2 linked regions of the Caenorhabditis elegans genome follow. The protein of the gene in region 1 interacts with the protein of each later gene in a pairwise test. Each region holds a gene or a part of one and is shown on either strand. Other genes may lie near its edges. The genes, in order: arf-6 and efa-6.

Region 1 (5,326 bases):
CTAAAATACACCAAAAATCTAGATTTTTCTAGTTTTTTGGGTTAAAATACATAAAAATCTGGATTTTTAGCTGTTTTTAGAGTAAAAAAGACAACAAACTGGATTTTTTGCAGTTATTAGGGTAAAATGACCTGAAAATTTGAATTTTTGGCATTTTTTGGGGTAAAAAAGACTAAAAAACTAGATTTTTGGGCTAAAATACACCAAAAATCTAGATTTTTCTAGTTTTTTGGGTTAAAATACATAAAAATCTGGATTTTTAGCTGTTTTTAGAGTAAAAAAGACAACAAACTGGATTTTTTGCAGTTACTAGGGTAAAATGACCTGAGAATTTGGATTTTTGGCATTTTTTGGGGTAAAACAGACTAAAAAACCAGATTTTTGGGCTAAAATACACCAAAAATCTAGATTTTTAGCTGTTTTTAGAGTAAAAAAGACAACAAACTGGATTTTTTGCTGTTATTAGGGTAAAATTACCTGAAAATTTGGATTTTTGGGATTTTTTGGGGTAAAAAAGACTAAAAAACTAGATTTTTTTTGGGCTAAAATACATAAAAATCTGGATTTTTACGATTTTTTTAAAGTAAAAAAGTCCAAAAATTTTGATTTTTTCCATTTTTTAAGGTTAAAATATCGAAAAAAATAGATTTTTTTTTGTTTTTTGGGTAAAAACACCTCAAAATCTGGATTTTTTGAATATTTTAAAATAGAAAACCTTTTTTTATCGATTTTTTCAATAAAAAATTGGGCAAATTTGTGATTTTAAAGTTGAAAAATTGATTTTTCTTCATTTTTTTCATTTTTTCAGTGAAAAAGGAATGAATTTATGAATTTTCGAGTCAAAAACTGTAGAAAAATCGATTTTTCAGCTACTTTATTGAGCTTTGCTCTAAAAAATGAAGATTTTTCACTTTTTTTTCAAGCAAAATGGTCAGAAAATGTAGTTTTTTGGCTTGAAAAGGGTTATTTTTACACATTTTTGACCCATTTTATCGATTATTAAGGTCAAAACAAGCAATTTTGACAAAAAATCAAGAAAAAAACGCAATTTTTTCGGCTTTTTCTTGATTTTTGTCCAAAAAATTCGGTTTTTTCGCTGAAAAACTCGCTTTTCCACGTAGAAACTCGATTTTTGGCCATTTTTCTTCATTTTTATCTATTTAAATCCGCTTTTCCATCGTTTACCTTAATAAAAACCAGCGAAACAAATGTACAAAGAAAAATGTGCTCGGTAGCAGTGATTAGCATAGCCGAAAAGTCGACACGCATCACAATTTCGTTTCTGAAATGTCAAATTTCTTTATTTTTTCCACATTTTTCCAGCTTTTTCCAGCTTTTCCCACCTCGACGGTGGTTTTGAGCAAAAAGAGCAAATTCCGACGATGGCTCCGACGAAAACTAGGAGATTACAGGCCCATAGCGGCGCAAAAACGAATGCGTAGCTGGAAAAATCGATTTTTTCGGGAAATTTCTGATATTTTGAGGATTTCCAACCTAAATGAGACTTTTCCATCGAGTTTTAACGTGAATAATGCCGTGAAAATTAGCAGACAAGCGCAGAGAATTACTTTTCTGGAAAAAATTCAGGGTTTCTAGGTGAATTAGCTCGAAAAATAGACTTACGATGCGTTAAACGATCGGAAAAAGACTCCCAGACTTAATTCCACCATTTTTTGTTCAATTTTTAGCAATTTTTCATGATTTTTTCACTGAAAATCTGAAAAAATTGAATAAATCAATAATAAATTCGATTTATTCCACGAAAAATAAAACACGAAAACAATAAATCCCGTGCGCACCACTTGCAAATAGCACGCGCGCCGCTTGCAAAACTGGGCGGAGCCACGCGGAAATTGATTTTTTCTTCCTTTTTCCGCCGTTTTAAAGCGAATTTTCGCGAAAAATGACTCATTTTTGTTGATTTTTCAAGTTTTTTACTCAAAAATCGCACTAATTTCGGTATTTTTTGCCTAAAAATCACATTTTTAGATCGAAAAATGGGTAAATTCCTGTCGAAAATCTTTGGCAAAAAGGAGCTCCGGATATTAATGCTCGGACTCGATGCGGCGGGTAAAACCAGTGAGTTTTTGGCGGAAATTTCGATTTTTACGGCTAGAAATATGGAAAAAATCGATTTTTTTTCCAGCAATTCTGTACAAACTGAAGCTCGGGCAATCAGTGACCACAATTCCGACGGTGGGCTTCAATGTGGAGACTGTCACGTATAAAAATATCAAATTCAACGTTTGGGTGAGTTTTCCGCCCCAAAAACCCTGGATTTTGGCCTAAAAACCCCAGATTTTGGCCTAAAAACCCCCAAAAACCCCAATTTTTCTTCAGGACGTCGGCGGACAGGACAAAATTCGACCCCTCTGGCGACATTATTACACAGGAACTCAGGCGCTCATTTTTGTGATGGACGCCGCTGATAGAGACAGGTTTTTAGGCGAAAAATGCGGAAAAATTGGTTTTTTTCCTGGACAAAATCGATTTTTTCAACGGAAAAATTCGGAATTTTCAGAGTCGACGAGGCGCGAATGGAGCTTCACCGAATAATTAATGATCGGGAAATGAAGGAGGCGATTATTTTGGTTTTTGCCAATAAACAGGATCTTGCCGATGGTTTGTGGCTTTTTTGGCGGAAAATTTGAGCGAAATGAGCGATGCTACACCTAAAACTCGGAAAAAATCGATTTTCAGCTCAAAAATGAGCGATTTTACCCCGAAAAACTCGGAAAAAATCGATTTTTAACCTAAAAACTCGAATTTTCAGCTTTTTTTGCTTAAAAATGCCCGATTTTACTGAAAAAATGGATTTACTCACTAAAAATGCAATTTTCAGCGATGAAACCACACGAAATTCAGGATAAATTGGGATTGACGAGGATTCGAGACAGGAATTGGTAAGAAACATCAAAAACTCGAGGAAAAACTGATTTTTCTGCAAAAATACATCAAAAAACACCCATTTTCTCTCGGAAAATGGGTAGAAAATGCAGATTTTGGTGTAAAAATCAAATTTTTCCGATTATTTCTCACTAAAAATCTCGTTTTTATGCAAAAAATACAATTTTTTTAAATTTTCTCGGAGAAAAAGCATAAAATAGCGATTTTCGCTTAAAATTCCCTCAGTTTCTTCTAAAAAACCTCCAGAAACGAAATTTTTCTTCTTTTTTTTTAACGGAAAACTCTAAAAATTCGCCTTTTTTTCGGTTTTTTCACCAAATAATTCAGATTTTAAGGCATTTTCATCAGTTTTCGCACTAAAAATCCAATTTTCCACCTGACAACGCTCAAAATTAGAAAATTTATCGTTTTAGAGCCATTTTCCATCAAAAAATGCAGTTTTTCAGCATTTTTTCAGTAAAAATTCAATTTTTTCATCAAAGTGCTTGAAAATCGAAAATTTTCCGTTTTTAACCGATTTTCTAACAAAAATTCATATTTTCAACATTTTTTTTTCATTAAAAATTCAATTTTTCCCTTAAAAAACGCCCAAAACTCGTTTTGCCGGCTTTTCCCGTTTTTTCACAAAAAAAAAACCATTTTTCCATTACAAAGTGCTTGAAATTCGAAAATTCTCCGATTTTCGACCAAAAATTCCAGATTTTCAGCTATTTTAAGCCAATTTTTACTCAAAAACTCATATTTTCCACCTGAAAACGCTCAAAATTCAAAAAAAGTTCCTTTTTTTAACCGATTTTCTACAAAAAAAAAGCAGTTTTTCAACAATTTTTCACTAAAAACCCATTTTTCCTTTAAAAAAAATGTTCCAAACTCGAAAATTGTCGGTTTTTGGCCAATTTTCCCAAAAAAAATCGAATTTTTGCAGATTTTCAGCTATTTTCATCCGTTTTTCACGGAAAATCCAATTTTCTCATCAAAAAGTGCTTGAAATTCGAAAATTTCCGTTTTTACACCGATTGTGCACCTAAAATTCCGGATTTTACGGCATTTTCATCAGTTTTTGCACTAAAAAACCCATATTTTCCACCTGAAAACGCTCAAAATTCGAAAAATGTCGATTTTAAACCGATTTTCACCTAAAATTCCGGATTTTCAGCAATTTTTCCACTAAAAAAACCCATTTTTCCTTAAAAAAAAACGCTCCAAACTCGAAAATTGTCGGTTTTAGGCCAATTTTTCACCGAAAAAATTGATTTTTTTCAGATTTTCAATCAAAAACCTTCATTTTTCACCTAAAAATCCACGGATTTTCACCCATAATTTCCAATTAATTTCTTTGCAGGTACGTCCAACCATCATGTGCTTCAACCGGAGACGGCCTACACGAAGGCCTGACGTGGCTAAGCCAGAATTGCAAGCCGTAAAACACATTATCTGAAGAATTTGGAATAAAAAATTCGCGTCTTGCCAAATATTAACAGTATTTTTTTCACTTTTTATCTGCAATTTTTTCTGTTTTAAATTTTTTTTTAATTCAAAAAAAAAAAAATTTTTTTTTCAAAAAATTTTCAATCCCTTAAATTTTAACATTGTGTGTGCCATGCTTATTCCTATTTTCCCTCTCTTTAATTCACAGAAAATACTCGAAAAAAATGCTCAAAATGCTCCCCAAAAAAATAAATTTCCAAAATTTCCCCCCCCCCCCCCCCCCTAGGTGCCCAATTTTCACTTATTTCCCCACTGTTTTTCCCGAGTTCCCCCCCCCCCCCCGAAAAAAAACACTAAAATCACTGCTTTTCTCCCCAATTTTTGCTCCATGACCGAGGTTTTTCTCGGCCGCGGCGACCTCCAATTTTCTCCAAATATATTCGCTGCCATTATCTGTGATTTTATCGTTTTTTATGGAGAAAAATATATTTAAAAAATCGATTTTTTGGCCAATTTTATAGTTGATTTTCTTTAGGACGAAATATTTTTTGCTGCCAGATTTTCAGATTTTTAGGCCAAAAATTTAAATTTAATATTTCAGATGTCCCGAGTGGTTCTCAACGTGGATAGTTATGAGGGAAATGGTAGGCGCCTACGCCTATAGGCTGAAAATTTCTGAAAAATTGGCATTTTTGGCTGAAAAATTCGAAAAAAAAACGACCAAAAATGGTTGGAATCTGAAATCCACCATTAAAGGGGCGGAGCTTAGCCGGACAATTTTTTAGGGAACGCATATCGCCGGGAATCGAATCTATGTACAATTTCTACAAAAAGCCAATAAATGGGCGGAGCAATGCCACGCCCATTTTCCCGGGGCTCGCAACGAATTTGTTTCCGTAGATCGTGTTCTTCCAAAAAAAAAATCTTCCAGAAATTGAAGCCCCGCCCACAAAATGGCAGGTTCACGATCTACCAAGAAATGGGCGTGCCC
Region 2 (5,298 bases), 4.3 Mb from region 1:
GGAAAAATAAATAATTAACGAAATTGTGAAGGTTTAATAAAATTAATTTTTATGTATATTATTTAATTTTTTTCCCACGAAAATAAAGATTTGTGATATAATTAAATTATTTTAATCGATGAAAAATTACAGATCATTTCACAAAAGCAAATCTCGAATTTTCTGAAAAATTTTATGAAATTTTTCTTTTTTTTTTAATCAAAACTTTTTGTGATATTTTTGGAAAGTGATTCTATTGGTTTTCAATAAATATTTCCGTAGAAAAGTAATAACATTTTTCGGTAGCTTTTAGTGTAAAATTTGAAAAAAAAAGCACACACAATTTCATTTTTTCTAAAAAAAATCCAGCAAAAAAGGTTACCTCCATTCGATCGAAGATGTGGTGAAAGTGTGGATATTTGTGGTGACGAATTGTACGAATGATGATGATTATCAGTTGGCATTGTGAACATTGCACTACGAAGACTTTTTGCAACGATCTCCTCGTTCGGAGATTTCATGTCGTTTGATACTACTGAACAAAAAAGTTTTCAATGTGAAAAGTGCGAAATTTATGCCATTTTAAATAATATTTAAATTAAATACGTTGATGTGTTCTTGGAAAATGTATTTTATAATTTTTTGAAAAAAATCGGCAGGAAAACTGATTTTTTTCAAAATAAGAGAGCAATATTTTCTAACAGAAATCTAGATTTTTCTTAAATATTCAAATTTCAAAAACTAAATTTATTTTGTTAGCGTTTTTCAGCTTATTTTTCAGCAACTTTTCGTTGGTTAAAATTTAAAATTAAATGTTTATAAAATCTTTAAATTTCTATTTTAAGTTTTCTAGCACTTTATAGCTCGATTTTTTCCATAAAGATCTCAAATTTCAAGCAAAAACCCCAAGTTTCAACCTAAAACCCTCTTAAATGAGTGCTAAACAACCTCTAAACGGATAAAAATGTTAGTGTGCAGTCAAGTGAGAGAACATTCAACACAACAGAAAAACACAGTACTACCGGGTGGCCTGAGGAGGAGGGTGCTAACGCAAATAAAAATGTGTGAATGGAAATTGATAGAAAAAAATGTGGTGGCGGTGGAAAAAGGATAGATAGAGAGACAGAAAACATTCCCTATTATAACTGTGCCGATCGCCTCCGGGAAAGCATTCTAGAAATGAAATTTGTTTCGGGTTTTTCTTCGAATTTTGTGCAATTCGAAGCTATTCTAAAGAGTAGAGGGACTTAAAAGAATTTTCCGATTTTTTGGCTTTCATACTTAAGTAGACTGAAAATGGCTAGAAACGGCCGAACATCATAAGGAGATTTTTCAAAATTTCAGTTTTTTGGGGGCGGAAATTTCCAAAAAAGGGCTAAATATTGCTTAAGTTTAGAATTTCGCAAAACTTTTCAGTGTCAGAGGCAGGGAATCAGTTTTTTTTTCATTTTTTGTATATTTTGGTGATCTAGTTTGTTGATTTAGGTTAGCAATTATTTTTTTAAAAAACACTTTTATTGAAAAAAAAACCATAAATTGGAAAATATATTGTTTGAATTATAAAACCTCAAGTTTTAATCCAAAAATATGGAAAAATCAGTTGTTTCGATTTTAAAACACTTTAATTTGAAAAAAATTTCAATTGTCCGTGTTTTAAGGACTAAAAACTTGGTAAGAAAATTGCAAAACAAATTGCAAACATTCTGATTTATCAGGACAAAAACATGCAATTAGTCATCAAGATCGTGAGCGTTTCTTTTTTTTGAAAAAAATTAGCCATATGTTTTTATCGGTATGTTTTAATTTCTAGAAATTTTATAAAAACAATTTTTCTGTTTAGAAAAAAGGGTTAAAAATCAATGGAAAATCGTAAAAATTGTGAGATTTCTTCTTCTTCTTTTCGAAAACTTTTTGCATCCAATTAAATCCAGATGTTTCATTTTTTTTTCGTTTAAAAATTTCAAAAGCTCACCAATAAATTGTTCTTCATCAACAACCATCACTTCATCATCATTTTCATTTGGTTTCTTCTGATTCTCTTTTTCATCAGTAGTCATCATTACAGTTTCTTCTTCACTTTCCTCTACATCAGTGCTCTCCATTCGTTCAATTGGAGCTGTTTTAAGCATTCGAATAGCTGTTGGTGAAGACTCTTCTGACGTTTTTCGTGCCAAACTACCACGTCTTTCGATTTGGCTTGTTGAAACTGGAACTTTTAGAACATTGGAATTAAAAGATAGAAAATTATGGAAAACAGTTTTTTCTAATTTTTTAGAGCTAATATTCAAGTGATTTCTATAAATTGAGCCGAATATTCCAAATTTTCAGCTTTTTTTTTATAGTTTTCAGAGTTTTCAGAGAATTTTTTCAGAAATTAAATATAAAGTTTTCAGGTAAGCTGTTCTGCTGACACTTGCACCTTTTTTAAGCTTTCAGAAAAATTTTTCACAATTTTTTTTGTATTTTTCGTCGGAACTGGAACTTCGGGCACATTATATATAACTTTTAAGCCAATTTGAGTATAAAATGCTTTTTTTTTTAATTTTGCAAAATTTCAAGCGATTTTTACGGAAATCTCAGCTTTTTTTGGAGAATTTCTCACATTTTTTTCGCAAAAGCCGTAAAGTGTTACCTGGAAGTCTTGACAGTTTCTGGGCCGCCGCTCCGTTTCGATTCATCGATGGAAACGAAACTCCCGCAGAGGCGGTGGCTCTTGACAGCTGATGTGGGTGAATGCTCGATGCAACTGTGGTACCTGGAGGCAGTTGGTCGCCGAGAAGCTGAAAAAAGAAGGGAAAAGGTTAAGAAGAAACACTTTTTTTCACTCAGGAGGGAGGGATGAAAAGATGAGGGCATTTTAAATTTATTGGAAAACCACAACTTTTATGCCTAAAAAATTTTTAAAAAAAATTTTGAAAAGAAATTTCAGTTTGAGGCCTCAAATCGCAGAGCATTATTTCAGAAAAAAAATATATTGAAAAATAGTTTTTTTTTTAATTCTTCAAAAAGGTCTTTGGAACATTTTAATGACCGAGAGCTGGAAAAATGAGAAAAGTTCAACTGTATACATTTTCCAAAAACCAAAATTTTTGCTATTTTTTGGAAGAAAAACATTTGAAATTTTTAATTTTTTCTAAAAATCAAATCCAAACCTTTGCATAAGTGCTCGAAACGTTCCGATTAAGAGAAATGAGCACATCACCGGACATTACAAAAGCCTCGGACTTTTTGACATTCCGGCGAGGGGCTCCATCAATGGTGGCCAGTGCCTCTTCGGCTCCCGACGACGCCACCTTCGCCATCACTCTGAAAACGAGATGATTGTAGAATAAAAAACGTTTGAAAAAGTATAGAAAAGGTGTCAAGAGGTATAATATTTCGATGACGAATTCAACAATGACCATCAGAGTGTTTATATAAACACGTGATGGAGGTGAGTTTATTTTCAAAATATTCACAAGCGGAAGCAACAAAAAAACACTTCAGCACCGTAAATTTATTCGAAAAGTTCCCTTTTGATTTTAGCATTAAAAAATAAAAATTTGGAGGAGAATTTGATTTTTTTATAAGAAATTCACAACTTTTCGGGCTAAAATGCTTAATTTTGGGCCACTTTCGCTAATTTTTTGTGTATTTTTTTTTCAAATTTCCTTATTTTTTAATGTAAATATTTTATAAACTAAAATGGTGTTTATTTAAGTTTTTTAGCATTGAGCATGAATAAGAGAGAAATTGATACAAGATGCTTTGCGAAAAAACACCAAAAATCGAGAATTTTAGATCAAAACTATAAAAAAATAAATGCACACTTCTTCTCACGGAGTACACGAGCTGCGTAAATCGACAGTCTCAAAGATTACGAAGTTTGAAAGTTTGTGCTGACAGTAAAAGATTTTTAGAAATTGCGATAAAATCGCTTTCTGGAAAAGCAAATTTTTCCGAATTATCTAGATTCTTACACTCAATTCGAAAAAGTACAAATCTTTTCAACAAAATCATAAAACTCTGCACAGCTGTTACCACCGGGACGACGTCACACCTCATTCGTCTCCTCCTCCTCCTCTTCCATCACCTCCCTGTTTGCCCATCAGATTGTAGTGTTGTATAATAAAATTCGAGATAGACAGAGAGAGACAGAGAGAGAGAGAGAGAGAGAGAGAGACCTGGTGTGGAACTAAACGTCCATTCCTCCCCGCTGTGCAGAAGACAACAACTGGTCGACTCCCGAAGGTGCGTTTTGAGCAATCTCGCGAAAAGCTGACAGTTGCGCGGAAGGATGGAACACATATTTCCGCCGCGCACACTGATCAGTCAGTTAACAAATATTGTCTCCAGAACGACGCACCCCAGAGAAAGTGATTAGGCGGTAAGGAGGGTTTTCACACCTCACCCCCGTATCATAAAGTTTCTACGGAAGATTAGCGTGATTTGGAGCTGAATTGTATGAAACTAGAAGCTCCAAGAAGGTTCTTGACGTTCCAAAACGTGGGAAGGTCGGAAAAGCGATACTTTGTGGAATTTGGAACGAAAAACTTATTTATGCGAGTTTGTTGCATTAAAGCTATCGAAATTTGCACAGGAATCAGCAATTATAGCGATCAACGATTTTTTCAAAGTTTTCGACAATTTCGATTTCAGAAAAATCGAGCTATACTGAAAACTTTCCAAGATAGATGACGCTAAACCAATTTCGATATAAAGCCAAGCTAAAGCAATTTTTAGCTCTCGTATGTGGTGCGAGGCTTTCCGATTAAGGTTTGATCTACAAATAATGCTGCAATTTTGCCCAAAAAATGTGACTCTTCTCCCGCATTTTTTAAAGATCTACGTAGATCAAACCGAAATGAGCCATCACGTGCTCTCGTCGGCAAAAACGAAAGTACAACGGAACGAGTATTACAACTCGAAGGCGAAGAAGAATCTCCATTGGATAATTGGTCCCTCGCAGAAAGATGAATGGACTTAGAAAACTACGGAGTACGAAACAATTTGGTCTACACCTATTGTTTCAGAATGTTTTCTGTAAAACTAGCGATTTTGTGTAAAATCGAAAGGCGAGGAGACACACAACGAAACAACTGGCAATATAAAACTCGATAAAATTGGCGAGATCCTCTTCTCTTGACCCTAATAGGCTAATCCACTTGATGCCAACACCAACCACGAATGCAAAGTTTTCGATAGAAAATGTCGAACTAACAGGTGTGCACACAAAACGGCGAACGTTTATGACATTTCAGCTTCATCTCCGCCTCTCCATCATACAAACAGATGAACCACGTTTTCAGAGAATATTCATTTTATAGGTTTTCCTCCGAG

Evidence for each region.
Region 2: the proteins of arf-6 (region 1) and efa-6 interact in a two-hybrid assay, tested with the Caenorhabditis elegans proteins (one study listed by BioGRID).

Annotation. Positions count from the first base shown.
Region 1 is NC_003282.8:16,945,131-16,950,456, forward strand, and holds arf-6 (ADP-ribosylation factor 6), read left to right. Parts: upstream 1-1,989; 5' UTR 1,990-1,997; coding exon 1,998-2,079; intron 2,080-2,146; coding exon 2,147-2,250; intron 2,251-2,340; coding exon 2,341-2,438; intron 2,439-2,521; coding exon 2,522-2,622; intron 2,623-2,842; coding exon 2,843-2,903; intron 2,904-4,249; coding exon 4,250-4,331; 3' UTR 4,332-4,604; downstream 4,605-5,326. Other genes in the region: Y116A8C.9 (Transmembrane protein 185B), read right to left, coding at 1,186-1,282, 1,344-1,442, 1,495-1,572, 1,624-1,670; rad-54.B (DNA repair and recombination protein RAD54-like), read left to right, coding at 4,937-4,979.
Region 2 is NC_003282.8:12,611,439-12,616,736, forward strand, and holds the start of efa-6 (Exchange factor for Arf-6), read right to left. Parts: upstream 3,287-5,298; 5' UTR 3,282-3,286; coding exon 3,132-3,281; intron 2,760-3,131; coding exon 2,612-2,759; intron 2,192-2,611; coding exon 1,952-2,191; intron 515-1,951; coding exon 362-514; intron 1-361. UniProt on the Caenorhabditis elegans protein: Guanine nucleotide exchange factor for arf-6. Involved in response to injury in mechanosensory neurons. Inhibits axon regrowth via microtubule dynamics, possibly by inducing axonal microtubule catastrophes.